Linked DNA regions of Macaca mulatta. Each later gene encodes a partner of the first gene's protein in a complex. Links are inferred from orthologs where the notes say so. Each region holds a gene or a part of one and is shown in the gene's direction. Other genes may lie near its edges.

Evidence for each region.
Region 2: TADA2A (region 1) and TADA3 share a complex: the UniProt entries of both Homo sapiens proteins name them as parts of the ADA2A-containing complex. The link is inferred for Macaca mulatta from reciprocal best matches to the Homo sapiens genes TADA2A and TADA3.
Region 3: TADA2A (region 1) and KAT2A share a complex: the UniProt entries of both Homo sapiens proteins name them as parts of the ADA2A-containing complex. The link is inferred for Macaca mulatta from reciprocal best matches to the Homo sapiens genes TADA2A and KAT2A.
Region 4: TADA2A (region 1) and MBIP share a complex: the UniProt entries of both Homo sapiens proteins name them as parts of the ADA2A-containing complex. The link is inferred for Macaca mulatta from reciprocal best matches to the Homo sapiens genes TADA2A and MBIP.
Region 5: TADA2A (region 1) and TAF12 share a complex: the UniProt entries of both Homo sapiens proteins name them as parts of the PCAF complex. The link is inferred for Macaca mulatta from reciprocal best matches to the Homo sapiens genes TADA2A and TAF12.
Region 6: TADA2A (region 1) and KAT14 share a complex: the UniProt entries of both Homo sapiens proteins name them as parts of the ADA2A-containing complex. The link is inferred for Macaca mulatta from reciprocal best matches to the Homo sapiens genes TADA2A and KAT14.
Region 7: TADA2A (region 1) and SGF29 share a complex: the UniProt entries of both Homo sapiens proteins name them as parts of the ADA2A-containing complex. The link is inferred for Macaca mulatta from reciprocal best matches to the Homo sapiens genes TADA2A and SGF29.

What each region holds. Positions count from the first base shown.
Region 1 is NC_133421.1:46,862,339-46,867,061, reverse strand, and holds the start of TADA2A (transcriptional adapter 2-alpha), read left to right. Parts: upstream 1-1,571; 5' UTR 1,572-1,635; intron 1,636-4,723. Other genes in the region: ACACA (acetyl-CoA carboxylase 1 precursor), read right to left, coding at 946-983. UniProt on the Homo sapiens protein: Component of the ATAC complex, a complex with histone acetyltransferase activity on histones H3 and H4. Required for the function of some acidic activation domains, which activate transcription from a distant site. Binds double-stranded DNA.
Region 2 is NC_133407.1:148,575,886-148,580,585, reverse strand, and holds the start of TADA3 (transcriptional adapter 3), read left to right. Parts: upstream 1-1,581; 5' UTR 1,582-1,829; intron 1,830-2,547; 5' UTR 2,548-2,574; coding exon 2,575-2,781; intron 2,782-4,081; coding exon 4,082-4,332; intron 4,333-4,430; coding exon 4,431-4,536; intron 4,537-4,700. Other genes in the region: ARPC4 (actin-related protein 2/3 complex subunit 4), read right to left, coding at 864-1,031. UniProt on the Homo sapiens protein: Functions as a component of the PCAF complex. The PCAF complex is capable of efficiently acetylating histones in a nucleosomal context. The PCAF complex could be considered as the human version of the yeast SAGA complex.
Region 3 is NC_133421.1:66,453,825-66,457,683, reverse strand, and holds part of KAT2A (histone acetyltransferase KAT2A), read left to right. Parts: intron 1-267; coding exon 268-374; intron 375-739; coding exon 740-850; intron 851-943; coding exon 944-1,080; intron 1,081-1,161; coding exon 1,162-1,370; intron 1,371-1,596; coding exon 1,597-1,723; intron 1,724-2,885; coding exon 2,886-2,996; intron 2,997-3,859. UniProt on the Homo sapiens protein: Protein lysine acyltransferase that can act as a acetyltransferase, glutaryltransferase, succinyltransferase or malonyltransferase, depending on the context.
Region 4 is NC_133412.1:109,438,830-109,443,407, reverse strand, and holds the start of MBIP (MAP3K12-binding inhibitory protein 1), read left to right. Parts: upstream 1-1,443; 5' UTR 1,444-1,586; coding exon 1,587-1,715; intron 1,716-4,578. UniProt on the Homo sapiens protein: Inhibits the MAP3K12 activity to induce the activation of the JNK/SAPK pathway. Component of the ATAC complex, a complex with histone acetyltransferase activity on histones H3 and H4.
Region 5 is NC_133406.1:212,257,570-212,262,316, forward strand, and holds the start of TAF12 (transcription initiation factor TFIID subunit 12), read left to right. Parts: upstream 1-1,653; 5' UTR 1,654-3,468; intron 3,469-4,747. UniProt on the Homo sapiens protein: The TFIID basal transcription factor complex plays a major role in the initiation of RNA polymerase II (Pol II)-dependent transcription.
Region 6 is NC_133415.1:65,817,352-65,821,313, reverse strand, and holds part of KAT14 (cysteine-rich protein 2-binding protein), read left to right. Parts: intron 1-488; coding exon 489-664; intron 665-1,977; coding exon 1,978-2,168; intron 2,169-3,962. UniProt on the Homo sapiens protein: Component of the ATAC complex, a complex with histone acetyltransferase activity on histones H3 and H4. May function as a scaffold for the ATAC complex to promote ATAC complex stability. Has also weak histone acetyltransferase activity toward histone H4.
Region 7 is NC_133425.1:28,316,641-28,319,619, forward strand, and holds the end of SGF29 (SAGA-associated factor 29), read left to right. Parts: intron 1-176; exon of another isoform or gene 177-580; coding exon 581-710; exon of another isoform or gene 711-780; coding exon 781-927; exon of another isoform or gene 928-1,125; coding exon 1,126-1,161; exon of another isoform or gene 1,162-1,267; coding exon 1,268-1,430; exon of another isoform or gene 1,431-2,075; coding exon 2,076-2,192; 3' UTR 2,193-2,276; downstream 2,277-2,979. Other genes in the region: sulfotransferase 1A1, read right to left, coding at 2,395-2,425, 2,520-2,628, 2,751-2,931. UniProt on the Homo sapiens protein: Chromatin reader component of some histone acetyltransferase (HAT) SAGA-type complexes like the TFTC-HAT, ATAC or STAGA complexes.

The sequences.
Region 1 (4,723 bases):
TTTTTCGATTTTTTTGTAGAGTCGGACTCTCACTATGTTACCCAGTTTAGTCTTGAACTCCTGAGCTCAAGCAATTTTCCCACCTAGGACTCTCAAAGTGTTGAGATTACAGGCATGAGCCACCGCACCAGGCCAGAAACTCTACTTTTGATTCTAACCATAGCAGCTTAGCAGCTGAAGACAAACTGCTGGGATATTTTGGTCTCAGTTAATGGCAGCCAGGTTACCTAGCTTGACAAGATGCAAGTTTTCTTCGTTGGGTTCCTAGTACAAAAGTCAACCTTTTCAGTTAGTTAAGAATGAAAGGGCATGAAGATTGTGCTATTAGTTTATCCTGAAGGTCAATCTTCAAAAATACTGGTTCAACATGGATTTGGATATTATTAATATAAATTTACAGCTTAAAGAGGAAAAAAGGTGGTTTCTCAGGTTCCTTTACAGAGATATTTAGTGAGGGAATAAGGCACTTAGTCATCTTTGCTATGACAGGTTAAATACAAGATCCGGCCACTGCACTCCAGCCTGGGCGACAGAGCCAGACTCCGTCTCAAAAAAAAAAAAAAAAATGAACTTGTATTATGCATATACCAAAAAAGAACGAAAGGGTTCACACAGGCATAAAGTGTAAGTGGATTCTAAAAATGGCTGGGCAAATTTATCAAAGGCAGACTTCTAAATAGATGTAACAGTTACATACTTGAGATAAACCATGGTTTGATTTCCCTTCCCCAGTACTTCCTAGCAGTGTGATTCCAAGTTATATGTCAGTGCCTAGATTTCTTCACCTGGAAAATGGGGATAACAACAGGTGCCTACCTCACAAGTTTTAAATGAGACCATATGTGTAACCTGCTTTGTGCAACGTCTGGCATGCAACAAGTACTCGACAAATGGTAGCTATTAGAATCATCATTAGCAGCAGTAATAAGAGATGTTGGGACATACCTAGCCCTCAAGATTGACATCAGAGTAGACCACCACATCCTCTCATCATCGCGCCTCAATTTGGGCCTCTGAAGCCCAAAGAGGGGATGGTTCTTTCCAAAGAAGACAATTTCGACGTTCCAGAAGCATCTGATTGAAACGCACCCTCTTCACCCCTTAAAAATCAGTCTGGTTCATCCACGAGCAGCCCTTCAGGGCCCGGACTGGAGAGGCAGCCACGGCTCGCCGTCCCTGGGCCCAGTTCCCTCAGCCTCAATTTCCCTTGCTGCAACAGGGGTGGGGGTGGGAACGTTATCCCCAAACCCAGGCAGTCCCGGCTTGGCCCGCCTCACCGCACTCCGGAGGGGACCAAACGGCCCCACGCGCTGGGAAGCCTCCGGCAACGGGCCACGCGCCACACGGACAAAGTGATTACTTGGCGGATCAAAAGTCAGGCAAGCGGCTTAGCCCCATCCTCCCAGTCCTCAGGCACAGGGACAGCGACGGGCGACGGGCGGTGGCCGGGAAAAGGCCAAGGGGGCGGCGGCTGGCGCTCAGCACCCGCTGGGGGCCTCCACAGCCGAGGGGCGGAGGCGGCGGGCGCGCGGCACGAAGCGCGTTCGCCACTGCGCCGCCCGGGGGCGCGCACGCAAAGCCCGGAGGCGCGCGCGACCGGCGGCTCCTTGGCGCGGATTAGGGGGACTCGGCGAGGTGAGGCGCCAGGCAGCGCTGGGCTGGCGGGTGGCGGGGAGCGAGCCCCTCTAGCGGGACTACGGGGAAGCGGGGGCCGCGAGGTGCGCCAGGGGAGGAGGCGCGGGCTGCGGGCCTCAACGGCGGGCGGGACGCGCCGGGCTGGCGGGCGGGTGGTGCCGGGCCTCGCCGCGCTGTGGGGGAGGGCGGCGCGGGACCCGGCCTGACCCCTGGTGCCCGCCCCGCGTCTGGGCGGTGCCGCAGTGCCCCAGCCTCGCCATTCCACGCTCAGCCCTGGAGCCCGTGGCTCTACCAAGGACGGCCACTGTGCGTGATGCCCCTGACCAGACCATTTGAATTTCTTAGCAGGCCCTCCAAAGTAGGTATTTCAGTACCCTGTTAGAGCCGAGGCGCAGGTAAAATGACTGGCCCAGGCCGGTCCCACCTCGTAAGGATTTGAACGTTGGCTCCACACCTCCGGAGCCTGCGCCTTTTCTCCTCCCCACGTGGACTTCTGCCCGGCATAGTGTCTCACTTCACCCGGTAACTGATTCGAATTTGGCGATTGTTAGTTTGGAGCTGGCTCCTGTGCTTCCACGGAAGTTGGTGTCAGAATGTGGTCTCTTGTGAAAGGAGGAGAAAGAAGGTTCTGCAGACTGCAATATTGTGCTTTTTTTGCTTTTTTTTTTTTTTTTATTTTCTCCTAGGCTGTAGTGCAGTGCAGTGGCACGATTTCAACTCACTGCAACCTCCGCCTCCCAGGCTCAAGCGATTCTCGTGCCACCACGCCCAGCTAATTTTTGTATTTTTAGTAGAGGTGGGGTTTCACCATGTTGGCCAGGCTGGTCTCCAACTCGTGACCTTAAGTGATCCTTCCGCCTTGGCTTCCCAAAGTGCTGGGATTGCAGGTGTGAGCCACCGCGCGCGGCCCTACAATTTTTTTTTTTTTTTTTTTTTTTTGAAACGGAGTCTCGCTCTGTCACCCAGGCTGGAGTGCAGTGGCCGGATCTCAGCTCACTGCAAGCTCCGCCTCCCGGGTTCACGCCATTCTCCTGCCTCAGCCTCCCGAGTAGCTGGGACTACAGGCGCCTGCCACCTCGCCCGGCTAAGTTTTTGTATTTTTAGTAGAGACGGGGTTTCACTGTGTTAGCCAGGATGGTTTCGATCTCCTGACCTCGTGATCCGCCCGTCCCAAAGTGCTGGGATTACAGGCTTGAGCCACCGCGCCCGGCCTTTTTTTTTTTTTTTTTTTTTTTTTTGAGACGGAGTCTCGCTCTGTCGCCCGGGCTGGAGTACAGTGGCCGGATTTCAGCTCACTGCAAGTTCCGCCTCCCGGAGTTCCGCCTCCCGGGTTTACGCCATTCTCCTGCCTCAGCCTCCCGAGTAGCTGGGATTACAGGCGCCCGCAACCACGCCTGGCTATTTTTTGTTTTTGTTTTTGTTTTTGTTTTTGTTTGAGACGGAGTCTTGCTCTGTCTCCCAGGCTGGAGTGCAGTGGCGCAATCTCGGCTCACTGCAAGCTCCGCCTCCTGGGTTCACGCCATTCTCCTGCCTCAGCCTCCTGAGTAGCTGGGACTACAGGCGCCCGCCACCACGCCCGGCTAATTTTTTGTATTTTTAGTAGAGACAGGATTTCACCGTGTTAGCAGGATGGTCTCAATCTCCTGACCTCATGATCCACCCGCCTTGGCCTCCCAAAGTGCTGGGATTACAGGCCTGAGCCACCGCACCCGGCCTATTTTTTATATTTTTAGTAGAGCCGGGGTTTCGCTGTGTTGGCCAGGCTGCTCTTGAACTCTTGACCTCAGGTGATCTGCCCATCTGGGACTCCCAGAGTACTGGGATTACAGGCATAAGCCACCGCGCCCGGCCTCCTGCTGTGCTGTTTTGAGTGTTGATCAGTCCATATTGACTGCATCCTTTACTGGACATCTGTTTTTTTTTGAAACGGAGTTTTGCACTTTGCAACCTGAGTTGCTTAGGCTGGAGTGCAGCGACGCGTTCTCGGCTCGCAGCAACCTCTGCCTCCCGGGTTCAAGCAGTTCTCTTGCCTCAGCTTCCCAAGTACCTGTGATTACAGGCATGTGCCACCACGCCCAGCTAATTTTGTATTTTTAGTAGAGACAGGGTTTCTCCGTGTTGGTCAGGCTGATCTGGAACTCCCGACTTCAGATGATCTGCCGCCTTGGCCTCCTAAAGTGCTGCAATTACAGGCGTGAGCCACCACTACCAGCCTTGACATCTGTGTTTGAAATGACACTGCTATCCCTTGTAAGACACTGCACAAGTAACATACTCTTTCAGAGCTTGCTTGCTTTTGAAAAAGCAGCTTGCCTCAGGAGTGTGGGAGTGAGGATTCAAAGAATCCCCACACCGAGGTACCCGCGGGTACCTAGCAAATGGAAAAAGTTCAGTAAATTTGGCTGTTATTTGATTGCTGCATTCATAATACACCCTTGCTAGAGTCATTTTTCTTCAGAGCTCAACTTTTCCTGAGACAACAGCAAAGGAGACCTACCGCACCCCAAAAAGGAAAAGTTCTTTGACGGCAGCGTTAGTGGAATGTTGCCCACACTTAGTGATGAATTATTCTCCAAGCTAAAAATTACCAGGGTGAAAAAAATCACTTCAGAAAAACTAAAGATGAATTAACCTTTTGTAGAACTAACATTTATTGGTCCACTACTATGTGTTTATTGTATTCCTCCTGTATGCTTGGCATTTTAAAAGAATGCAAATATGTATCCGATATATTCTCTGCTTTCACTTATTTATTTATTATTTATTTTTGAGACAGGATCTTCCACTGTAGCCCAGGCTGGAGTGCAGTGGCACAATCTTGGCTCTCTGCAACCTCCACCTGCCGGGTTCAAGCAACTCTCATGCCTCAGCCTCCCGAGTAGCTGGGATTATAGGCACCCGCCACCACGTCAAGCTAATTTTTTAGAGATGGGGGTCTCACTGTGTTGCTCCAGGCTGGTCTGAAACTCCTGACCTCAGGAGATTCACCTGCCTCAGCCTCCCAAAGTACTGGAGTTACAGGCATGAGCTACCATACCCAGCCTGCTTTCACTTAATTTAAAAGTGGGGTAAAATACACATTCAGAAG
Region 2 (4,700 bases), on another chromosome or scaffold:
AAAAAAAATCCAGATTTCTAGCAGGGATACGAGTTCACAAAGTTTGCCAGGATAGGGAACTCAGGAGGAAGAGCAAATTTAGAATGGAAGATGAGTTTTGAACTAGAGGTGTAATTTCAAGGTCTCTTCAAGATACCCAGGCAAACCTTCAAAGAGAGCTGAGAAGCCAGATTAGGAGTCATCAGAGTGAAGAAAGTCATCGAAGCCAGCAGACTAGATCGGTATCACCAGGGAAGGTGTGACGATGAGGGAGGTGGTCATCCAAAGTCACAACTCCCAAGAATACCCACATGTATGAAAAAGGGAGGACTTTCAGGAAGGGAGGGATGAGCAGTATCACAGCTAACAAACACTAGGGCTGACACAGTTCAGTTCTGACCAGGAGGGGCCTGAATGGAAGCAACACGAGAGATCCTCCAGTGGGGTGGAAGCAGGGCTGGAGGTACCAAGAGTGGGATAAGGAAGTGTGGCCGCCTGCCTTAAGCAACTGTAGGGTCAGGAAGGCAGAAGACAAAGGGCGTATTTAGTGAAGCTCTACTGTGGACAGGCAGATGGACCCGCTACATGCCTCAGCGGCCCTTCGACGGGCTAAGAGGCCGACTACGTACCCTCGAAACGCTCCAAAGAGCCTAGGAAGCCCCACTTCCAGCTTCCTCCAGGGCTCAGTAAAAGCCCCTACCTGCTTGGAAGGCTGATCACGAAGCCGCAAGGCCCGCTTCAAACCAGGGAGTACCCCTACTCGCCCCTTCCTCACCTCGGGCCCCCGCCCTCTTTCTCCCACCCTCATGGTGTCCCCACAACCCCCGGGCATCCCTCAGCCCCGCGCCCCTGCGGCAAAGCCACATCTCCCACCGACCCACTGCCCTGAGGCTGAACAGCTGGGGGTCCCTGGCCGGGGGCCCGGCTCTCTCACCATCGCGGGCGCTGGCTGGGCCGGAAAGCGGAAGTACGGAAGTGGCCAGCCCCGCGATGCCTGCCCTTTCGCGAGAAGCGCAGCCTCTGTCTCCGCCCGGACTTCCGGATGGTACCATCTATGCTCTGAGCGGGATAGGGAACCCTTGCGAACGCTTGGCCCTTCCGGAAGTTTTCCACCTAGGGCTGTCTCGGTATCTTTAAACTCTTGCACTCGAGTCACTACTTAAGCTTCTCCAGGAATGGGAGCAGCTCCCCTTTGTGCCTTCGGCCTTCTTGTTACCTTTGCCACAGCCTCCCCCCAGGTATGCAATGGTACAGCCCAGCTTCAGATTGGGCACCAAATTAGGACAAGCTGAAGCGGAGGAGCCCTTCGTTTCTTCCGGTTCTGTGCCCCCATCCTTTCTCTCGCCCCTCCTACCCGCAGCTCCTGGGGCTCAGCGGCGCTAACTGCAGCGCCGAGATCTCCGCCGCCAAGCCCCGCCTCCCGCCTCCCGCCCCGGGCTATGCCCTGGGGCGCGCCTGAGGCCAACCACCCGCACCCCACCTCTAGCGGGCTTGCTCGAGGCCCACCTTCTCCCCACCCCCGGCAAACTTCAGTAGGCTCGCCCTCGCTGACTCCCCGCCCCCGCGTCAACTGCAAGGGGCCCGCCCATAGCCAGTTCCGGGGCGGTTGCTCCCGTCGACCGGAACTCCCCGCCCCCTCCCGCGGCCCTGGGGCCGTAGGAGGCCGCAGTGAGGAGGTAGAGGGGGCGGGGGTCGCGCTAGGGTGTCCCTAGAGAACGAGGACTCTGAAGGCGGGACATTTGGACGACCCCCGGGCGGGGCCAGCCATTAAATAGTCCCATTTCTGTGCCAGACACTGAACTGGGCTCTTGACGGGCATCATCTCTTAATCCTCAGAACATCCCAGGGAGGTAGGTACCGTTGTTATCCCCATTTTTCAGATTCAGACTTTTAATGGGGAAACAGACCGAGACTTCTTTTGTTCCCATTTTACAGATGGAAAAACTGAGACTCAAAAAGGTTAAACAACATGTTCGGGGCACATAAGTAGAGAATGGTAAAGCCTGGACTTGAACCCGGGTCTGTCTGGCTTACCAGCCCACGTTCTAAACCACTATTAGTGACTAGAGAAGGGAGAAAGGTGGAGTAGGATAAGAAAAGAGGCCAAGAGTCCCAGAGAACATGGTAAGAATGGGGTGCTTGGAACTCAAAGTCTTAGCAGAACCCAAGAGAAATAGAAGGGAAGGAAAGAGCATCAGAAAGGCAAGGCAATGCATAGTAATATAGCATGGTGATCAGGGGTGCAGACTCAATATAGCGGGGTTCAAATTGCATCTTGGAAGCATAGGCACATACCCACCCTTACAGAGTCTCAGTTTCTTTCTCTGTAAAGAGATCACAACGGTCCTTGTTCATGGTGCTGAGTGAGAAATTAAGTGAGATAAGCTGATAAAGTGCTTTGCGCCTAGCTTGGTACACAGTTAAGTGCCCTGTGAGTAGGAACTGTGCCATCAATTTTGTCAGTAAGGGACTGAAGCCTGGCTTGCTTGAGACTGTCCCTGGAGGTAAGAAGCCCTTGGGCTTTTCTCAGACCCCTTTGTCTCCCATCAATGGCCCTGTCCTCTCCAGCCCCACAGGATCCCCATATCCTGGGCCATGAGTGAGTTGAAAGACTGCCCCTTGCAGTTCCATGACTTCAAGTCTGTGGATCACCTGAAGGTCTGTCCCCGCTACACGGCAGTGCTGGCGCGATCCGAGGATGATGGCATCGGCATCGAGGAGCTGGACACCCTGCAGCTGGAGCTTGAGACCCTGCTGTCTTCTGCCAGCCGGCGCCTGCGTGTGCTTGAGGCCGAAACCCAGGTGATACCCCAGAGAGGGGCCATCACCAGAGATGGACTGCAACAAGTTATGGGATGGGTCATTGAGTTAGCTCCATATGCTGAAACCTGGGATACAGGGGTTTATGGGGAGAGGGAGAGAGACCCAAACTGGGTTTGCATGACACAAAAAATACACAAGAATATGCATGATCCTCTTAAATTGCAAGATTTCTAATTCGGTACACTTTTTTTGGCATCCCCCCACCCATCCCCCATTATGTTCTGGGTTCTACGCTAGTCATTAGAGAAAGGTAATTAGGACAGTTTTGGCTGTCAAGGAGCTTGCCAACTAGGAAAGGGAGAAAGTCAGGTGCATACCAGGTGATGTGATGTTGTGGTTAGGAGTCCTAGGGAACTGGAATGGGGAGACCTGGATTTGAATCCTGGCATAAGCACTTGCTAGCATTGCTGTTTCCTAGCTATATGACTTTGAGAAAGTTTTCTCATATCTCCGAGTATCAGTTTCCCTATCTGCAAAGTGGGGTGAATAATAGGACCTACCTTAGTGCTTTTGTGAGGATTAAAAGAGAATTTTTGCAAAAACTCAACCCAGTGCCAGACACTAAGTAAGCACTTCAGGTGTTATTTATTTACTACTCTGATTACTTTATTCACTGCATAAAGATGCCTTCAGCCTTGTGTGCCAGGCGCTATGCTGTATGCTGCAAAATAGAGATAGTTAAGGTATGCTTTCTGGTCTTCAGTAGCTTATGGTCTAGTTGAAGAAACAAGGTGCGATGGTCATTCCAGTGTGACCAAACAGCATGATTGGGTGCACGGTGGAGGTGTGAAGTGCCAGAGACTTGTAGAGGAAGGAGGTGCCAACTGGACCTAAAAGGATGAATGGAATTAACTTGTCCCTGGGAATCCATGGAAGCTCCTTGAGGAAGGTTATGACTCAAGTTGTATTTTAGCATCTAAGAACCTGGGTAACTGATTCAGAGAAGGCATCTCAGTGGTGGTGACATTGAAGTGAAGGTTTGCTGGGAGGACTCTTCTGTTAAACAATATGTGACTGGCATGGGTGATAAAGAAGTGAATCAAAAGCACAGATGAACAAGTGAATGAGAGGATGAGAAGTATATGAATAAAGTCGTAAGAGGCCAGGCACAGAAAATGAGCTGAATTTTGAAGGATGAGTAAGAGTTTACTAGGTAAAAAGAGGATGGGGAAAGACCCAGGAGACTCCTTAGATTCTAGATCCTAATTTATTCACTAGAGGAAAGAAATATTCTTTGTTTTCCCTTCTCTCCCTCAGTGACAATTTCTGTACATTTCAGATCCTCACCGACTGGCAGGATAAAAAAGGTGACCGACGATTCCTGAAGCTGGGTCGAGACCATGAACTTGGAGCTCCCCCGAAACATGGAAAGCCCAAGAAGCAGAAACTGGAAGGGAAGGCGGGACATGGGCCGGGCCCTGGCCCAGGACGGCCCAAATCCAAAAACCTTCAGCCCAAGATCCAGGAATATGAATTCACTGATGACCCTATCGACGTGCCACGGATCCCCAAAAATGATGCCCCCAACAGGTTCTGGGCTAGAGAACATAGAAGGGGGCCTCAAGGTTCTGGTGGTGGAGGCGCTGGTGGGGCAGGGGTACCCACTGAGGATCTGCTTCTCCCTGCAGGTTCTGGGCTTCAGTGGAGCCCTACTGTGCTGACATCACCAGCGAGGAGGTCCGCACACTTGAGGAGCTACTGAAGCCCCCAGAAGATGAGGCTGAGCATTACAAGGTAGAAACTCTGGGCCTTGATAGACATGATGCAGAACAAGAGAGTTCAGAGGTGGCTGAGAATTAAAGCTACCAAAGCCATGCATCATCTTCCTTCCCCCATCCTGCCCAGCCTCCTATCTGCTCCATCAATGTATCCAGACACCCAGGTCCAAACTCAGCTTT
Region 3 (3,859 bases), about 20 Mb from region 1:
CACAGCACAGGATGACATCAGCTCAGACCTGTCTCCCTGTGCTACACAGCATGGTGAAACTGAGCTTCTTTGATCTCTGTCCTGGATGTGTCCTGTTGTCTTACCTTCAATTGGAGGCTCCCAGAAGACAGGGGCTGTCCCCTCTTTCAGGTCCCCAGTTCCCTAAGAGCAGGGTCTGCTCTGACCAGCCTCCAGTCCCTCTGCCGCCTGGCCCAGGCTGCACCCTTGGAGAACAGAGTTGTGGGACAGACTGTGTCCTCCCTACAGATTCCTGTCCATGCTGGAGGAGGAGATCTATGGGGCAAACTCTCCAATCTGGGAGTCAGGCTTCACCATGCCACCCTCAGAGGGGACACAGCTGGTGCCCCGGCCAGGTATGTGCCATGGTATGCTCTGTAGGGTGTCTGGCCTGCCTGGCTGAGCTAAGCCTCCTGGGTGGAAGAGGGCTCAGCTGGGCCAGAGGCCCTGGATCCCACTGAGGGACCTGCCACCAGCTTCAGCCCTCCCGTCCCTGACTTCTCTCTCTCTCTGTCTCCCTTGTCCCTGACTTCTCTCCCTCTCTCTCCTCAGCTTCAGTCCCCCCGTCCCTGACTTCTCTCTCTCTCTCCTCAGCTTCAGTCCCCTTGTCCCTGACCTCTCTCTCTCTCCCCTTAGCTTCAGTCCCCCGGTCCCTGACTTCTCTCTCTCTCTGTCTCAGCTTCAGTCCCCCGGTCCCTGACCTCTCTCTCTCTCTCCTCAGCTTCGGTCAGTGCAGCAGTTGTTCCCAGCACCCCCATCTTCAGCCCCAGCATGGGCGGAGGCAGCAACAGCTCTCTGAGTCTGGATTCTGCAGGGGCCGAGCCTATGCCAGGTAGATACTTGATCCCTGACCTCTGACCATCATTCACTCCTTCCCAAACCTTTTTTTACTGATCCTGACCAACCTTGCCTGCCTCCCCAATAGGCGAGAAGAGGAAGCTCCCGGAGAACCTGACCCTGGAGGATGCCAAGAGGCTCCGTGTGATGGGCGACATCCCCATGGAGCTAGTCAATGAGGTCATGCTGACCATCACTGACCCTGCTGCCATGCTGGGGCCTGAGGTGGGCAGCCCGACCTGCTGACCAGTTGGGGGACCCCCACCAACCTGAAACCCCAGCTCACCGCCCCTCTTCTGTGCCCAGACGAGCCTGCTTTCGGCCAATGCGGCCCGGGATGAGACAGCCCGCCTGGAGGAGCGCCGTGGCATCATTGAGTTCCACGTCATTGGCAACTCGCTGACGCCCAAGGCCAACCGGCGGGTGTTGCTGTGGCTCGTGGGGCTGCAGAATGTCTTTTCCCACCAGCTGCCACGCATGCCTAAGGAGTATATCGCCCGCCTCGTCTTTGACCCGTGCGTCCCCCAGAGAGCCCCTCCCCCAGGGCAGGACCCCCGGGTCCCTTCCTCCTCGGCCTCTTGACTCCTCAAAATTGGAGATCCCCTGCTCCCCACTTCTGAAGTTCAACCTTTGATCATTCTTATTTCTCACTGCCCAACCCTGACTACAGTTCAGACTTCCAGGGCTCTGGGGACCTGAAGGAAACAGGCAGGGGCTGTGACGTGCCCACCTCTCTCTTAGGAAGCACAAGACTCTGGCCTTGATCAAGGATGGGCGGGTCATCGGTGGCATCTGCTTCCGCATGTTTCCCACCCAGGGCTTCACGGAGATTGTCTTCTGTGCTGTCACCTCGAATGAGCAGGTCAAGGTGAGTGCCGCTCCCCAGCCCACGGCTCGCTCCGGAGTTTGGGCCAGCTCGGAGCAGCGGGAGGTGTGGGATGCAGCAGCCCCTGGCTCTTCTCTTAGTGGCCCGTTCCTCACATCCCCACAAGGTGGCAGCCGTACTTTGATAACTGTGGATTAGGAAACCACCTGTTCACAGACAGAGCCCAAGAAGCGGCCACGCTTTGGTGACCTGTGGACTAGGATTTTCTTCATCACAAGAACATTTACATACATGGGGGAATTAATTACTTTAATTTTTATTTTTTATTTATTTTTTGAAACAGGGTCTCTCTCAGCCAGGCCGGAGTGCAGAGGCATGATCAGGACTCACTGCAGCCTTGACCTCCCAGGCTCAAGTGATTCTCGTGCCTTGGCTTCCCAAGTAGCTGGGACTACAGGCATGCGCCATTACATCTGGCTAACTTTTGTGTTTTAGCAGAGACAGGGTTTTACCATGTTGCCCAGGCTAGTCTCCAACTCCTGACCTCAAGTGATTCACCTGCCTCGGCCTCCCAAAGTGCTGGGATTACAGGTGTGAGCCACGGTGACCAGCCGAACTAACCGTTATTACAGTAGTCCTATGCTGATAGCCTTGGCTTCTGTCCTTTGTTACAACAGACCCCCTCGTAGGGTCGCTGGCTCTGTGTGTCACATACCTCAGATCTGCGTGGCGCATCGTTGGCCCTGATGTGTGGGAGCCATTGCTCCTGCTCAGGCCTCTGGTGACTCCCTCTCCCTCCTCTCCCAACTCTGAGGCCCAGGGACTGGGAATTGCTGGCCTGTGTTGGGTTTGGACCCGGCCCTGCCACGGCTGGCAGCCTGACCTTGAACGCATTTCCTAACATAGCTGTTTCAGTTTTCTCTTTTCTAAAATAGAGGTGGTACTACTCGCCTCTGGGGTTGAGAATCGGTCTGTAAAACAGGAAGCACTGCACCTGGCCCAGAGTGAGCTTAGAAAGCCTCTACCTTTCACTTTCCCCCATAAACTCCCCTCCCTCTGTCAGCTGCCTTTCTTCCTCTTTGCCTGGATGCTCTCCCTCTCCCCACCTCCTTTCCAATCCACCCGCTCCACTCTGGGCTCTGAGACCTCTCCAGCACCAGGCCCATCCTCAGCTCCTGGTGAGTCCTGCTCCCCTCCCCCACAGGGTTATGGGACCCACCTGATGAACCACCTGAAGGAGTATCATATCAAGCACAACATTCTCTACTTCCTCACCTACGCGGACGAGTATGCCATCGGCTACTTCAAAAAGCAGGTGACCCGTAGCCTTATCCCACACTGGTCCTTTGCCTGAAGCCTGGGGTCATTCTGTCCAGCCCCTCTGTGGATGGAGTAGGAGTCCCTTTATGTCCCCTACTTCACCTGACACCTGCCAGGAAAGTCTCCATGCCTATCTTCTTTCCTCTGCTGCCACTGCCCCAGGGGAGAATGGGGGCCTATGGGGCCAGTAGAGCAGGCTGGAGGAACTGGGGGGCCAGTAGAGCAGGCTGGAGGAATTGGGGGGCCAGTAGAGCAGCCTGGAGGAACTGGGGGACCAGTAGAGAAGGCCGGAGGAACTGGGGGCCAGTAGAGCAGGCTGGAGGAACTGGGGGGCCAGTAGAGCAGGCTGGAGGAACTGGGGGGCCAGTAGAGCAGGCTGGAACTGGGGGGCTGGTAGAGCAGGCCGGAGGAACTGGGGGGCCAGTAGAGCAGCCTGGAGGAACTGGGGGGCCAGTAGAGCAGCCTGGAGGAACTGGGGGGCCAGTAGAGCAGCCTGGAGGAACTGGGGGGCCAGTAGAGAAGGCCGGAGGAACTGGGGGGGCCAGTAGAGCAGGCTGGAGGAACTGGGGGGCCAGTAGAGCAGCCTGGAGGAACTGGGGGGCCAGTAGAGAAGGCCAGAGGAACTGGGGAGCCAGAGCAGGCTGGAGGAACTGGGGGGGCCAGTAGAGCAGGCTGGAGGAACTGGGGGGCCAGTAGAGAAGGCCAGAGGAACTGGGGAGTCAGAGCAGGCTGGAGGAACTGGGGGGCCAGTAGAGCAGGCCGGAGGAACTGGGGGGCCAGTAGAGCAGGCCGGAGGAACTGGGGGGCCAGTAGAGCAGGCCGGAGGAACTGGGGGGCCAGTAGAGCAGGCCGGAGGAA
Region 4 (4,578 bases), on another chromosome or scaffold:
CCTCAATGCAAACAAGTGATCTGAAACTGATTGCTAATTTGGTACAGAACAAAAACCTACAGTTACCCCATTACAATTATTCTCTATTAACAAGAGAACCAGAAGCAAACAAAACATGCTAACATGGCAAAGAATCATGAATTTAGGCTAGATATGGGGATGAGTGGCTTGAATAAGAAGGTTGCTCAATTTGAGATTGGACATTGCGAAGTATCTTTCTGGCTGTAGACATAGGCTGGAATATCAGTTGTATATCTTGCTGCCAACAAGGGAACAGAAAAGATTTTCCAAGATTCTGTCAAGCCTGGTGATCCCATTTGTCTTTGGAAATGAAAGCCTAATTAAGAGACTCCCTAGGGACAGGTCAAAGGAGTTCTTTTATCTCCATCGTCCTTATCCTAGTTCCTCGATGCGTTAGTCCTTCCCTTTAATGTAGTCTACCCTAAAACTAAAGAATACACATTGTGCAAGTTTCCACCTTTGCTTTCTCTACTGTAAATGCATTAGACTATTAACAGAATGAAGAGTTTTAAATCCCACCTTCCTTATCTCTCAGCTGATGTTTATTTCTTAAAGTGTTTTTGAATAAAATTTGACACTAAAAATTCTTGTAATACTTTTTAAAATTGGATAACACTTTTTAAAAATATTGGAGTCTGACTAAAAGATTACAAAACCCCACGAACATCTTTATAATAAAGCTATTATGATAAATAATACTTTGTAAAATTTCAATTCGGTTTTATGTCCTAATTTCAAAGATTGTGGTTGCATATTATTTATCCAGGTTAAATTCCTGTTGGATTATATTGACAGTGTTTCATTTCTTTGAAACAATTTTAGGGTTAAGAGTCTCTACAGTTATAATGGAGAATATCAACTGTAGTTTCAGTTACTCAGGAGGTTGAGGCAGGTTGAAACTGGGAGGCGGAGGTTGCAGTGAGCTGAGATGGCGCAACTGCACTCCAGTCTGGGCGACAGAGTGAGACTCTGCCTCCAAAACAACAACTTAAAACTTGAAGAGATGAAAATGTTCTATCCAACCATGACAATTCCGTGTGAGTTTTCCAGTGTTTAGAAACACTTGCGGGCACCACTCCATCCCTGACCAGCAAGCTTCCTCCAGAACCACTCCACACCGCCATGTTAAAATGTCAACTTTTAATTTGGGGACTCAAACTACAAAATTTAACTATGTCTCCTCTTACCAAGATTCACAGTGAACATCTGGGAGTCAAGGTAGGCTTCATAACGCTAAACAGACCACAACGCTAATAACCACCTCAAATATAGCCTTCCAGCCTAGCTTTGGTCTGCAATTTCCCACTTCAGAGCCTCGGCGTAATGTCGCAGTTGCAACTGATTGGTGTAACGTGCTTGTCAGTCACATAGAGAGGGTGGGGCCTCAAAGCCTGATCTAAACGAGACGCCGTGTCGTACGTCATCGCCAAGCGACTAAAGCTGGAAGGGAGGGAGCGGGGTTGTGAGCAAACGTTGGTGGTGGTGTTGGTGGTGGTGTTGGTGGTGGTGGTGGTGGTGGTGGTGGTGGTGGTGGTGGTGGTGGTGGGGCGGCCTGAAAAGGCATCATGGCTGCTGCCACGGAGCTTAGTCGCCCGAACAGCGGTGACAGGAGCCTGGAGCGAAGATGCAGCCCTAGCCTCTCCCGAGAGGTGCTCTACGAAATCTTTCGCTCCCTACAAACCCTGGTTGGACAGGTGAGAGGTGGCCGGAGGGACTGGGAATATGGAAGCCATCCGGCCCATCCCTCCATTCTTTTCTTCTAGCAGGGGCCGGGGGCAGCTAGGCCTGCTGAAGTGTGGGATGCCGTCCCTGAAGCCGAGGTCGGGGAGGAGCGCGGGCCCAGCCGCCTCGCTCGGAGTGAGGAGGACGGCGGTACCCGTAGCCGAGTAGTTTACCTTGCAGCTGTCCTCTCCAAGAGTGGGTGAGGTTGGTCTAAGTGAAAACCCGGCTCCGAAAGAGGCAGGCTTGGGGAGAATGAATGTGGAAAAGCTTCACTGCGAATTTAGGAGGCGCCTAGCGCTCAGGGTCCTTTTTCCTCCAACTTACTCTTTATGGGAATTGGTTGGTCAGTAGGCCTGAGATTTATAGAAAAGCGCGCGCTTATTAGCTTTTTCTTGGCCGGGGGGAAGGAGTAATTTGTTCTTATGAGTTACTTGGTTTTGTTTATTTCTTTTTTCCTTGGGGCTGTTTTGGGCATCTATAACCCTTTCAAATGGGGAGGAAAGTAAAAGGAATTCGTTTAAAATACTTCTAGCGTAAAGTTGGATGAGTTATCCATCGTTGATGCTGTTTGCGTTTAGAACTGTCGTTATTTAACTATTAACTAGTTTAACTGACTGATAAATCGCTTTTGCAGAAATGCCATAGTAAAATTGGTTTTGAATTTAGTGGGCTTCTTCGATCAAGTCACTGTTTCGTTTCACGGTGTAAAATTAAAAGCAAGTTTTAAATGAGAAACAATTTAAAAGTACGCTTGTTTACCTGCCTTTTAAAAGGAAATATTTTCTATCTTACATAGACCATTTTCTAGCCGTAAAAGTTTGTTTTGAGGCTGGCACTAGCGCATGTGGACACGGCAGGCATTTGTGTCAAAGATAATGGTAAATTCTTATGAAAATAGAACATTTGTCTGATTTGTGAAAATTATTTTTAAAGCCTTGAGTAGATGGAGAATCAGCTTTTTAAAAAGTTACTATTTTAAAAAATCATAGTGTGTTGTGTCTTACAAAGAACATTACTGTAAGTTAAACGGTTTTATGTAATGACGCAATTATTAATGGAGTCTGCTTAAAGATACAACTTTTAAATTCAGTTGTTTGCCAAGTGCTTACCGAAATCGTTTTTTAAAGGCTTGGGGTGTTTTGTTATATATTCCAGTCTTAAGACCCAAGACCTTTTAAATGGTTTAAAAGTTAGAGAACTTTTTATGGCGACGTTGGAACTTAAGTTTGTTTATTTTCTAATGTCAAGATGAAAAAAGTTTATGCTCACCTATTAACAGAAGATGGAATATTTTTTAAAAATACTGAGCAATGATTTAAACGTTTCTTTTGAAACATTTAGCATACTGAATTTTTCAAACTCATTAGAAAATTTTAAACATTCAAGTACTCTACAAGTAAAGAAGCGATTACAATTTATTTGTGTCACCTGTCAAAAATGTTGACAGTAAATATTTGGTTACTTTACCATGACACAGTGAAGGGACCTCCTATACAGGTGTCAAAAATATGATTGTTTCATCAGTTAAATGCAAACTGTTTTCATAATACTCTATATTTTGAGAAGTATTAAGAGTGAAAGCCAGAGTTCCACACTTGCAAAATTGCCCCCAGAGAAATCAGTATTTTCTTTTGCAACCACTTTAAAAGATTTCTAGAAGGTATGTTGTAACATGCCTAACTTCATCCTGTGTCATCCCTAAGTATCATTGTATTATTAGATCTCAGTAGGAAACATAAAACTGAATGTTAAAAAGAATTTTTTACTTAAGATCACAAAATTTACTAATTTTAACCTTTTTGCTTGCCTCTGGATGGTCCATCTTACCAAGCTAAACACTTACTTATTTTTAGCTTGGATTTTTGTATTAATTTAGTAAAGTGTTTACTGAAAATATTTATTTAAATAGTCTATATTAATAGCAGACTAATAGAGATTTTCGAGTGAATGGTTTACTCTTCCAAGTTCTGTAGGGCAAAATGCATAGAATTCATATTACTAATAATGAATTTGTTGAATGAATAGTTAGGTGTATTAGAATAGTTTTAAATTAATTTGTGACATTATTATGTGAGTTTCTTAAAAGACCAGTTATTCTTAATTGCACTTGAAGCTTATGTAATTCTGCTGAATTGAAATGACACTATGAACGAAACATTAAGACTTATTTTTCTATAAGTTATTTTCTCTAGAAAATGTGATACTTTGCTTTGGTTGAGGATTTGCCTGCTTTATCCCCAAGCTGTATTCTTAAGTTTTCTGTGATCAACTGTAGATCTCTTTGAAGACTATGAAAGTACAATAATAGGTTACTTCCATACATAATACAGGTTGTTGTCTAACAAAATCTTTATAGGAATTAAAATAATGTAAATGAATGCATTCACTTTAACGTAAAATCTTAACATATTATAATCTTTGCCAGTGCAGCCTACATGAAATTTCATGTATCTTTACGCTTGTCTAATATGGACTTCTAAATGCTTCTGTTCTCATCTTCATTTCTGTCACAAAGTATTCAATATATTATCTTTTTATTGGTAACCTTACATCTTTTTGATCTTTGTACAGTGATTCATCTTTTTTATTATAATTATGACTAATAAAATCTGTATTTGAACTCATGTAACACCTTTATTTTGTAGAAAAGATGACTCATTTTGAATAAATTATGTTAAGTTGATTCCACTATGAAGTGTATTCTTATACTATGCTATAAACACATGTCCCTAGAAAAGTTTGTGATGGTTCACTTTTATTTACTCAAAAGACTGCAGATGGGCGCTCTCATTGTAAACTTTTCACTCATTTTGATGATAATCTTATATTCAGGTT
Region 5 (4,747 bases), on another chromosome or scaffold:
GTATGCCAGACCCTAAAAAGAATGGAGAGCAGTGGCAAAGAAATAAGGCTAGGAATACAGCTTGGAGCCCAATGTTCATGAGGACTTGAATCTGAGAATTTGGATTGGGTGGCAGTGTAGAGGGTGGATTGGGAAGGTGGTAGGATGAGGATTAGGAAGATATAAAGACAGGGCAGGATGCTGCACCAATCTGGGCACCTTTCCTAATTTCTGCTGGCAGATACTGTGGCTCACACTGGCCTGTCACAGCTTTTTTTTTTTTTGAGATGGAGTCTCGCTCTGTAGCCCAGGCTGGAGTGCAGTGGCCGGATCTCAGCTCACTGCAAGCTCCGCCTCCCGGGTTTATGCCATTCTCCTGCCTCAGCCTCCCGAGTAGCTGGGATTACAGGCGCCCACCACCTCGCCCGGCTAGTTTTTTTTAATGTATTTTTAGTAGAGACGGGGTTTCACCGTGTTCGCCAGGATGGTCTCAATCTCCTGACCTTGTGATCCGCCCGTCTCGGCCTCCCAAAGTGCTGGGATTACAGGCTTGAGCCACCGCGCCCGGCCCACAGCTCTTTATACATTTTTTGGTGTGTTTGTGGGTTCTTCTCCATTTTACTGTGAACCTTACAGATGCTGGAACTGGGTCTGACTTGCATACCTAACATTCCAGCATACAGTAAAAAATAACAGTTCTCTCTTTTTTTTTTTGAGACAGAGTCTCGCTCTGTCACCCAGGCCGGAGTGCAGTGGCGCGATCTCGGCTCACTGCAACCTCCGCCCCTCCAGGTTTAAGCAGTTCTCTGCTTCAACCTCCGGAGTAGCGATTACAGACGCGTGCCACCACGCCCGGCTAATTGTTTTGTATTTTTAGTAGAGACGGGGTTTCACCATCTTGGCAAGGCTGGTCTTGAACTCCTGACCTCGTGATCCACCCGCCTCGGCCTCCCAAAGTGCTGGGATCACAGGCGTGAGCCACATAAAAGCAATTCTCACCAAGCATTTGACAGCAAAAAACTGTCCTGTAGAGAATGCTACAGGACAGGCTTTGGCTTAGTAGTGAGGTCTGAGTTCAAGCTGAGGCTCTGCACTTATTAGCTAGAATTTTGCTTAATCTCTCACAGGTCTCCTCTAACTGATTAAATGGCGTAACGGAGGTAAGCGGATTAGCACAATTCCTGGCAAACAGTCAGCAGTCAATTGTTATTACTGAATTGCCAGTTCACAGGCACAACCAACCGATCTGTCTCATCTCCCGGTTCCTGTGTTGCCAACTTCCTCGTTGAGGTTCAACAGGATACCTGTGGGGTAATGTGTCCCAGATGATATCCTGGTCCTGACACCATGACAAAGGCACCAACCAAAAATGGCGACCTCAAAGCCATCCGAGGGCGTCAATTACCCGTCATGCTACCGATGGATAAATAAGCAGAGTCGGGAAGAAAAGCTAGTGAAGGATTCTTAACGCCGGGGTGGAATACGCAGAGCTCGCTCATGCTGCCACTCAACTACAAGCAGTTAAAAGCGCAAGCTGCAGGCTACAGCTACACACAGCTCAAGATCGCCACCACGTGTCGGAGGGCAGTCTGCGCCTGCGCAAGCGAGGCGCGCGCCCGCCGGCCGGAAGAGCCGCGCGTTTCCGGGTTGGAGGCGGGGAGCGGTGCCGGAAGTAGTCGGGGAGGGCCGCGCAGTCGGACCGGCTGCTGAGACGAACGCTTCTCTGGGGCAGTCTCCGCATATCATGGGGAGATAGACGCTGCTGCCTGTGAGTCTTGGGCCCTGGCAGTTGAGGAACAAGAGCGGGAGGAGGGAGTCAGGACCCAGATCTACAGTAGGTCAGTGTTCGAAGGACCAGGTTGTGGACGAGACGGGGCTGTGAGGATTCAGGCTCTTGGGAAGGGACTGACAGAGGATCAGGCTCGGAGAAGACGCGGCTGTGGGGACCTGGGCTCCAAGACGGGACTTAGGGAACGGGGACGGATCTGAGTTCTCCGGCATCTGAGGGAAAGTGGTCTGAGAGGAGCAGGATTATGAGGACCCGCACTCCTACGAGGAGAGGGTCGGAAAGGAACGGGGTGTGAAGACACGGGCTCCGGAGAGGTAAAAGTGGAGCGGTGAGGACTTGGGCTTCTAAGAGGCAGAAGCGGGACAGTGAAGACCCGGCCTCCTAAGGATTCAGAAACGGGGCAGCGAAGACTCAGGTTCCTGAGGGGCAGAAGCAGACAGAGAAAACTTGAGTTTGGAAGGGAACAGAAGCGGGCAGTGAAGACTGGGGCTTCTTTGGGGACGGGATCCGGGCTTTGAGACTCCGAGTACCTGAGTCTCAGAACAGGGCGGTGAGGACCCAAGCTCCTAAAAGCCTTGGATCTAAGGGACCATGGATGTGAGATCAGCCTAGAAAGTAAAGGGAAAGGGTTTGGAAAAGATTTAGTGATCCATTTTTTTTTCCACAGTATTCCCTGAACCCAGAGAGATAAAGGACGTATTCAGGGGAAGACAACTTCTCCTTCGCACTGCCTGCTTGGCTCTTGGCAGGCTTTTCTTGTGTTAGATACTCAATCTAGGAAGCCCACATGCAAACATCTTCATTTTCTGCTTCATTCTTGGGAATCAGATGTGAAGTTGAAAACAGTTGGAACTCAGTTATATACTTGATAAGTGCTTTAAATCCCATTCCACTCAACCCTGAATGAGCACAGATCTCTGCATCTCAAGTAAAAGAATGTCAGTGATGGAAGAGTCCCAAAAGATCATCTTTTAAAAACTCCTATTTTACATTTAAGGAGGCTAAGGTTCAAAGAGGTTTAGGATTACAGTGAGGCAATGGTTAGATCATAATTTTAATACAGTACCCTTCTGTGCGTAGCAAATGAGATGCTTGGTTAATGTTCCTTAAATGCTTCCAGAATCTTTGCTTTATCTTCAAACTCAGGAGGGAATTTTTTTTTTTTTTTTTTTTTTTTTTTTTTTTTTTTTGAGACAGGTTCTCTCTCTGTTGCCCAGGCTGAAGTGCAGTGGCTCAATCTTGGCACCATGCACGTCAACCTCCTAGGCTCAAGCAATCTTCCCACCTATATATACCTCCTGAGTAGCTGGAACTACAGGCATGTGCCTCCACACCCTGCTAATTTTTAAATTTTTTGTAGAAACAGGATCTCACTATGTTGCCCAGGCTGGTCTCAAACTCCTAGGCTCAAGTGATCCTCCCACCTTGGTCTCCCAGAGTGCTGGGATTGCAGGCATGAGTCACTTCCCCCCGCTTCCAGTTTTCTTTTTTTGAGACAGAGTCACCCAGGCTGGCGTGCAGTGGCACGATCTCAGCTCACTGCAATCTCTGCTTCCCCGGTTCAAACGATTCTCCTGCCTCAGCCTCTCAAGTAGCTGGAATTACAGGTGTGTGCTACAATGCCCAGCTAATTTTTGTATTTTTAGTAGAGACAGGGTTTTACCATGTTGGCCAGGCTGGTTTCGAACTCCTGACCTAAAGTGATCTGCCCACCTCAGCCTCCCGAAGTGCTGGGATTATAGACATGAGCCACCACGCCTGGCCCAGTTTTTATTTCCAGTAAAAACTGGAAATTTTTACAGTTTCTGATACTTTGAGTGTTATTACTGCATTGACATTGATACAGTAAATGTCACTTAATAGTAAGGAAACCTTTATTTTTATTTTTATATTTTTGAGACAGGGTCTTGTTTTGTTGCCCATATTGGAGTGCAGTGGCATCATCATAGCTCACTGCAACCTATATTCTTGAGCTCAAGCACTCCTCCTGCCTCAGCCTCCTGGGTAGCTGGGACTACAGGTATGAGCCACTACACCCAGCTAATTTTTAAGTTTTTTTGTAGAGACGGTGTTTGGCTGTGTTGCCTAGGCTGGTGTTGAATTCTTGTCCTCAAGTGATTCTCCCACCTTGATATCCCAGAATGTTGGGATTATAGGCATGAGCCACTGCACCTGGCTGGAACCTTTAAATAAAGCTCAGTGTTATTTATTTATTTATTTAATAAGCTGTTTGGAAAGCCATAAATAAGTGTGTCCTGCATTTTTAGTGCAAACATTTACTAGGGATGGCTGCTTTTGGATAAGAATGGTGGGGAGACTTGCACCAGTCACTTACTTCAATATTAGTATCTTTTTCTGAAACCTACTCAGACTAACCAGGCACAGCTTAGGTACTTTCGAGTATTCTATGATTTAATTATCACAGCCCCACAAGTTAGATATTGTCAGTCTCGTTGTACAGATAATGAAATAGGTTTAGAGAGGTTAAATACTTTGCCTGAAATCACACAGTACTGAGTGACCCAACCCCAGTTACGCGTGCCTCTAAAACTTTTTTCTTCTCTTCTAAGTGGATTCCTCTGTCTCAGTTTGTCCATCAGCAAAATAGAAGTAATCGTTATACAAAACATATAATTGAATGAAAGCATTCCCTCCTTCTTAAGGCTCCTCTAAATGTCAAGGACTATAACTTATTAGGGTACTTACGTATTGTGGCATTTGAGGAGAGCTAAATTCTGTTTTCACAGAAGCATAGATTATTTAAGATAGAAAAATGGGAACTTTGTAGAGCTTTTAATTGCAATGTAGAAAGACATATTTAATTTTAGATTTAGGAGGCCAAGAAGGACTAATTTGGACTGGGCATAATGGCTCATACCTGTAATCCCAGCACTTTAGGAGGCCAAGGCGGGCAGGTCACCTGAGGTCAGGAGTTCGAGACCAGCCTGGCCAACATGGCAAAACCCCGTCTCTACTAAA
Region 6 (3,962 bases), on another chromosome or scaffold:
CTCATTGCACTCCAACTGCCCTGCAGCTCCATGATCACCCTCACCCTCCATGCCAGCACCACATTCCTGGGCAGGCGCAGTGAGAAGCTGTTTATGAGCCTGCTCCAAGCTCACTTTGTCTCTGGTGTTCCCCAAATGCCCCACAAAGTTGAATGTTCCCTCTTCTGGCCTCCAAGGCACTGGAGATGCATCCTCATGTCTGACTCCTCGGGGTGAATCTGATGCTATTTCTGTTTCCTCACTTTGTTCATGAAGGCACCTGGCACAGTCCCTGGTGGGTACAGAGGGCTTTAGCCTGATGAATGTTCAGAGTGAATTTTAGGTTTCATACATAAAAGTATAGCTGTAATCAAGCCAGCTTCGTGTAAAACAGTGCAGGTTACTTTAAAGTTTCAAGCAGATCAAAGAGTTTACATGAGTCAAAAAGCTAGGAATAATACCAGGTATTTTTCTTGACTTGAATTTGTTTATCTTCTGTGGTACCGGAGGCGTGATTATGAAACAAAGCCACCCAAACTGCAGCTCCTGTCACAGATTCGTTCCCACCTGCACAGGAGCGACCCTCACTGGACGCCGGAGCCCGACGCGCCTCTCGATTACTGTTACGTGCGGCCAAATCACATCCCAACGATCAACTCCATGTGTCAGGAGTTTTTTTGGCCTGGTATGTTCCCTCTCCCAAACCAGGCGGGTCATTTTTCTGTACAGTCCATTCTAGCAATTTTTAAAATTAGTTTATGTGATAGCCTTAAGATTTTTATTTATGATTTCATTTAGTTTGTCTCTGCTAATATAGAAATACTAAAATACAAATACCTCTTATTTTCCTAAAATCTAGAAGAAGCCAGCAATAAACAGTGTTTTTGTTTGTTTCTCTTCCCTGTTTGTCTCTGCTTCCAGAGTAAAAGATTCATCCTGTTTTGCTTCTGCATATATTTAGATACCAGGTAATGTCTATCAAAGATACACAGACTGGTAGCTTGGGCGTGTTTGGACACTTTTGTTTTTGGCTTAATAATTCTTTATGTTTATTTAGCTGTTCCTTAGAGAGTGTTAGTACAGCCAGAAGGTGTTTTTTAAAAGCCAAATACCCTGATCACAGACTTTGAGAATAAGGGTAGGCCCAGTATAATTTGTCATTTTATCAGCCTTAACAAAATTGCCTCTGAAGACCAAAGTCATTAATTAAAGGAACACATTTTCATTGCTAAATATAAACTGTTCTTTGTGGATCTGCTTTCCCATGCTGCCTTGAAACCTAAAGGAAATAATACGTACCTTTCAGGTGTTAGATACGATTTCATCAAGATTAGAGCTGTGTCGTCTTTATTGTCACATAATCACATAACCGTGCATGTGGTGGCAGAGCTGCACTCACTCTTTTGGGAGTCATATTGAGCCAAAAGTAACATTCTGGGATCATCTTCTGCTTCCTGCCCTTATGTTAGGTGCCTTCCATACATTATGCATAGAACCATATTTTACTTATTTTTTGTGAAAGGTATCGTTTGTACAAAAGAGCTTATAAATTATATGTGTGTGGGGTAAAGGATGTGATAGAACACGCTCGGGGGGATCTTTATTCAACCCTGTCAGGTCTAGGTGTGCTCTTCATGTTACGCATTGCAGGAACGGAGTCTCTGAGACATTTTGAAATGTGCCAAGCCACACATGGTAGAGGAGGCTGAGTTCAAAGCCAGCTGTGTCCAATTCTGAACCTGTGCACTGCTACCTACCCTATTCTGCCACTCTTCTTTTAATATATGTACTTAGAAAATACTATGTTAATTTCAGTGTTTTCTAAAATTCATTCTTATTTTTATGATCTGGACGTGTGGTATCTATGTTACCTCCAGTTTTGGTGTTTTTTTTTTTTTTTTAGCATGCAGGTGTAGCCATATGTACATGCTGAACAGCTTGGTGTTCCTTAATTCTCAAAGGCATGTGGTTTGAGTCTCTGATGGTTTCTTTTCTTAGGCATTGACCTGTCTGAGTGTCTGCAGTACCCAGACTTCAGTGTTGTTGTTCTTTATAAGAAAGTCATCATTGCCTTTGGCTTCATGGTTCCCGACGTGAAATACAATGAAGCTTACATTTCATTTCTCTTTGTCCACCCTGAATGGAGAAGAGCAGGAATTGCAACTTTCATGATCTATCATCTGATTCAGGTAAGTTGTCTATGTTTATGATTTATCACCTGTGTCTGGGCTCCCCTGAACAACCTGGAGGAGGAATGAAGCTAAGCTAGCCCTTCCCAGCATGGCCCAATGGAATGGTTTCCTTGGAAACCAAGTGAAGAAAGCCAGTCAACAGCATTCATGAGGTTGTCAAAGCACACAGACAAAAATCTCCGACCCTGTAAAATAAGATTATTATTTAGACCCAGCTTTCATAGAAACCAGTTTGTGAACATGTGTAGTAAATAAAATGAGAAAACACCAAAAGCAAGAGCTTTAGGGTAGACTATTCATATTAGTAATAGCTACTGCTCTTAGGATCATCACCTTCGCAACTCAGAGAAGTGAGGGTAGGACTATTATTTTTATTTTTTAAAATATTTGTAAACATTTTAGCACAACTGTATCAATAAGAATTTATATATATATTTTGAGACACGGTCTCATTCTGTCACCCAGGCTGGAGTGGCACAATCATAGCTCACCGCAGCCTCAACCTCCTGGGCTCAAGTGATTTTCCCGCCTCAGCCTTCTGGGTAGCCAGGACCACAGGCGCACACTACCATGCCTGGCTGAGTTTTTGTAGGGACAGGGTCTCACTGTGTTGCCTGGTCTGTACTTGAACTCCTGGGTTCAAGCAATCCTCCCACCTCAGCCTCCCAAGTGCTAGGATTATGGGCATGAGCCACCACGCCTAGCTACATATTTTATTGCTGATAGTTTTTAATTTTACTATCACTGTATAAGGCTGATATGAACCTTCTAAGATTTGATTCTAGTATTGAATTATAATTCATCCTTTGATATATTTGTATCACCTTTGAAGAAAACACACCATACACCAACATCAAAAAACATGCAAGGATTTTTTTCCCCTAGAGTTTTTTTAGTTAACTTTTACTTAGAAACCGTTTGGTATGGAGGATTATATGTTATGCAGGCAAGATTCCTTTTAAAGAGGAGATGAAGATGATAAAAGTTGTTTCTCCAATTTTTAATGAAACTTGCTTAATAATTCCCAAATGTTGGCAGGAACCTTGAGAACCATTTTCCTAGAAATTGTTTTCCTTCTCTCCTTAGGCGGTGACTGTGTAAATCACTCACTGAGTAATTAATACGTGCTACTTTGGGTGGTGGTTTTCTCTTGAGAGTTTCTCAGTTATTTCTATAGCACTCCCTTTCTCTGCCGCATCCCACCCAAGAGTTGAGATCTCTCAGTATGCGTCTTTTTAACCTAGGAGAGCACTTAGAGGATTTGCTGCCTTATCTGTCACTGGTAAGGGCCTGAAGACAGGGCAGCAGTAGTACTTTGTCCTTGTGTGTGTGTGTCCTTGGTGCCCAGCATGAGGGCTGTACAGAGTCAGTCCCTGCTGAGTGTTTGCGAGGCCAGTGGAGGAGTGGTTCATCTTTGCAGGTGGGCATCTTCCCCTCCAGCCAGACCATACACCTGAGGGCCCAAACATAGGTGGCGCACAGTCGCTGATACTCAATGATGGCCACGGTGAGATCACGTATATTTGCAATCTTGCAAACACTAACATGACCCCTCAAAATTTGCTTTAAAAATTTACAAGGTGCTCTTGTCCCTGGCATACTAGTAAGTGCTCTCTTGACCTAAAAATTCCTATGGATACACATGGAAGTTAAGCAGAGAAAGCAGGTAGCTATCAGATGACGGTCAACAGAGGAGTTCTTAGAGGCCTGAGAGAACCATGGGTTATAAATCTCAAGGACTCTATCAACTTCAGTATTTCAGTGCCTTCTTTATTAAAAAGTAAGTTCTTA
Region 7 (2,979 bases), on another chromosome or scaffold:
GAGTAGCTGGGACTACAGGCGCCCACCACCACGCCCGGCTAGTTTTTTTGTATTTTTTAGTAGAGACGGGGTTTTACCATGTTAACCAGGATGGTCTCGATCTCCTGACCTTGTGATCCGCCCGTCTCGGCCTCCCAAAGTGCTGGGATTACAGACTTGAGCCACCGCGCCCGGCCTGTTGTGTTCTTTTTAACTTTTTATTGAATTACAACGTATATTAATAGGAGAAAAGTACATGTAAGTGCAGAGTTCAATGACATATTCACTAACTAAACACACTTCTGTAACCAGCATTCAGATCAGCAAACACAGCCTGAACAGCACCTCGGAAACTGCTTTCTTTCTTCTGCTTCCTCCCCCTGGGTGTGCGCTGTGCTGCCCTCTCACTCAACTGTGGTTCAGCGCAGCAGCCCCTATAGGTGTTGACACATGGCCGATAGGGTCACAGTCCTGCTGGGCCCTCGGGCTCACTCAGGAACTGGGCGCTCCCAGGGGGTCCTCCAACAGCTCAGTGCAGCATGCTGGGGGGTCAGGGCCAGCACCTGTCCCTGGGGCCTCAGGCCTCCCTTCCTTCCCACAGCGGCCAAGATCGCAGGTCTCTACAATGACTCGGAGCCACCCCGGAAGACCATGCGCAGAGGGGTGCTGATGACCCTGCTGCAGCAGTCGGCCATGACCCTGCCCCTGTGGATCGGGAAGCCCGGTGACAAGTGAGGGCAGCAGCTGCGAGGGAGGGGCTGGTGCCCAGGGGCTGGGACTGACCCTTTGTTCTGCTCACAGGCCCCCACCCCTCTGTGGGGCCATCCCCGCCTCAGGGGACTATGTGGCCAGACCTGGAGACAAGGTGGCTGCCCGGGTGAAGGCCGTGGATGGGGACGAGCAGTGGATCCTGGCCGAGGTGGTCAGTTACAGCCATGCCACCAACAAGTGAGTGACACCAGCCCCGGGGCTGCTTTCTGGTCACCGAACTTGCCTGGGCTGCCGCTCTGCTTCCCGTCTGCACAGCAGGAGAAAAGCTCCCCAGAGGCCAACTGTGCAAGGAGCACCAGGTCCTCCCCCATCCTCACTCCCCGACAGGGACTGCACCCCTGGCTGCATCCAGCGTTTTCCTCCTTTTGTCCACAGGTATGAGGTAGACGACATCGATGAAGAAGGCAAAGAGTGAGTGTCTAGGCCAGGGCAGGGCACGGAGCCTGGGGGCAGCCTAACGTCTGGGAAGGAGCATCCCCACCTGGCCACATGTTGATATAAGCCCCTCTTCTCCCAGGAGACACACCCTGAGCCGGCGCCGTGTCATCCCGCTGCCCCAGTGGAAGGCCAACCCAGAGACGGACCCCGAGGCCTTGTTTCAGAAGGAGCAGCTCGTGCTGGCCTTATATCCCCAGACCACCTGCTTCTACCGTGCCCTGATCCACGCACCCCCACAGCGGGTAAACCAGCCTCCATGGGAGAGGCCATGGGTGATGTCAGGAACAGGCTGATCAGACAGACAAGGGGTCCTCTACCCCCTCCCTCCCCTTGTCCTTATCTCACAGGCTCCAAGCTGACAGCACCCACCAGCTGCCCTCCCTCTTCCACTCCAGCCCCAAAGGTCACCATCCCCTTGCAAGCCCTGGCAGTCTTGGCAAGCCCTGAGTCAGCAACTCCCTTTCTGCATTCCTAGGAGAACTAGCTCTGAGATGGGAAGCTCCTGCCCTGAGCCCCGGGCTCCTACCCCCTTATGCTCCTGGTGACATGGGACACAAGCCACCTGAGGCTAGGATCCCTACCTGCCACCATCTGGGTTGCCCTGGGTCCCTGAAAGGCAGCAGACCCTCCAGCTATGGCCCCATTAGGAAGGGAGTCAGCGCCCCTTCCTCTCCCCACCCTTTTCACTGCCCTGGGTCTCCAGCCACTGAGAAAAGAGCTGTGTAGCAGCAGGGACCGGGCCAAGACATCTTGACCCCAGAGTGAAGGATGATGAGAGTGGCTGAGAGTCCACAGCCCAGAGGCTCCTGTGGTCTAGGCTGGGAGAAGGGGGTGCCTGTCCTGGCCTGGGGCTCTCTGAGCAGCCCTCCTGTCTGCCTGCCACACAGCCCCAGGATGACTACTCGGTCCTATTTGAAGACACCTCCTATGCAGACGGCTATTCCCCTCCCCTGAATGTGGCTCAGAGGTACGTGGTGGCTTGTAAGGAGCCCAAGAAAAAGTGACGCTGCCTGGTGGACTCACCATCCCCCAACGACACAGGGCAGGACAGCAGAGGATGTGCTGGGATTAAACAGACATTCCTCCTCCACTCGTCTCCTGGGTTTTACTTCTCCAGACCCTCTCCCCTCTCCAAATAGGGCAAGTTGGGGAGCTGGAGTGGGGAGGTGGCCGTATTTGGCCCCAGTGGGCGATCACTCTTTCAGCTCATGGTTTCTCTTGGCTTGAAATGGAGACTCTGCATTGAACACAAATCATACTTTATTCTTGAGCCGCTTGGTCAGGCTTGATTCGCACACTCCCTCAGCAGTGACCGCGGGAGCCCCTCTCACAGCTCAGAGCGGAAGCTGAGGCTGCAGCCTGCCATCTTCTCCGCATAGTCCGCATCGAAGCGCTCATTCTGCGCCACGGTGAAGGTGGTTTTCCAGTCCCCAGTCATTCCTGGAGGAGGAAGGCAGGGAGCAAAGCTGGAGTCTCATCCCAGGGGAGGCCCTGAGTGCCTATGGGGAGGCTCCAGCCGCTGCTCCCACCCGCCCCAAACCCCCGTGCTGGCCGGTACCCACCTTTCCTCATGAAGGGGGAGATGCTGTGGTCCATGAACTCCTGGGGGACGGTGGTGTAGTTGGTCATAGGGTTCTTCTTCATCTCCTTGAATGACGTGTGTTGAACCATGAGGTCCACGGTCTCCTCTGGCAGGGAGCGCCCCACAAACTCCAGGATCTTCCGAATCTCCCTTTTGGGGTTCTGAGGAGCAGAGGCTCCTCAGTGGAGGCTAGGTTTGCTGATTGAGGA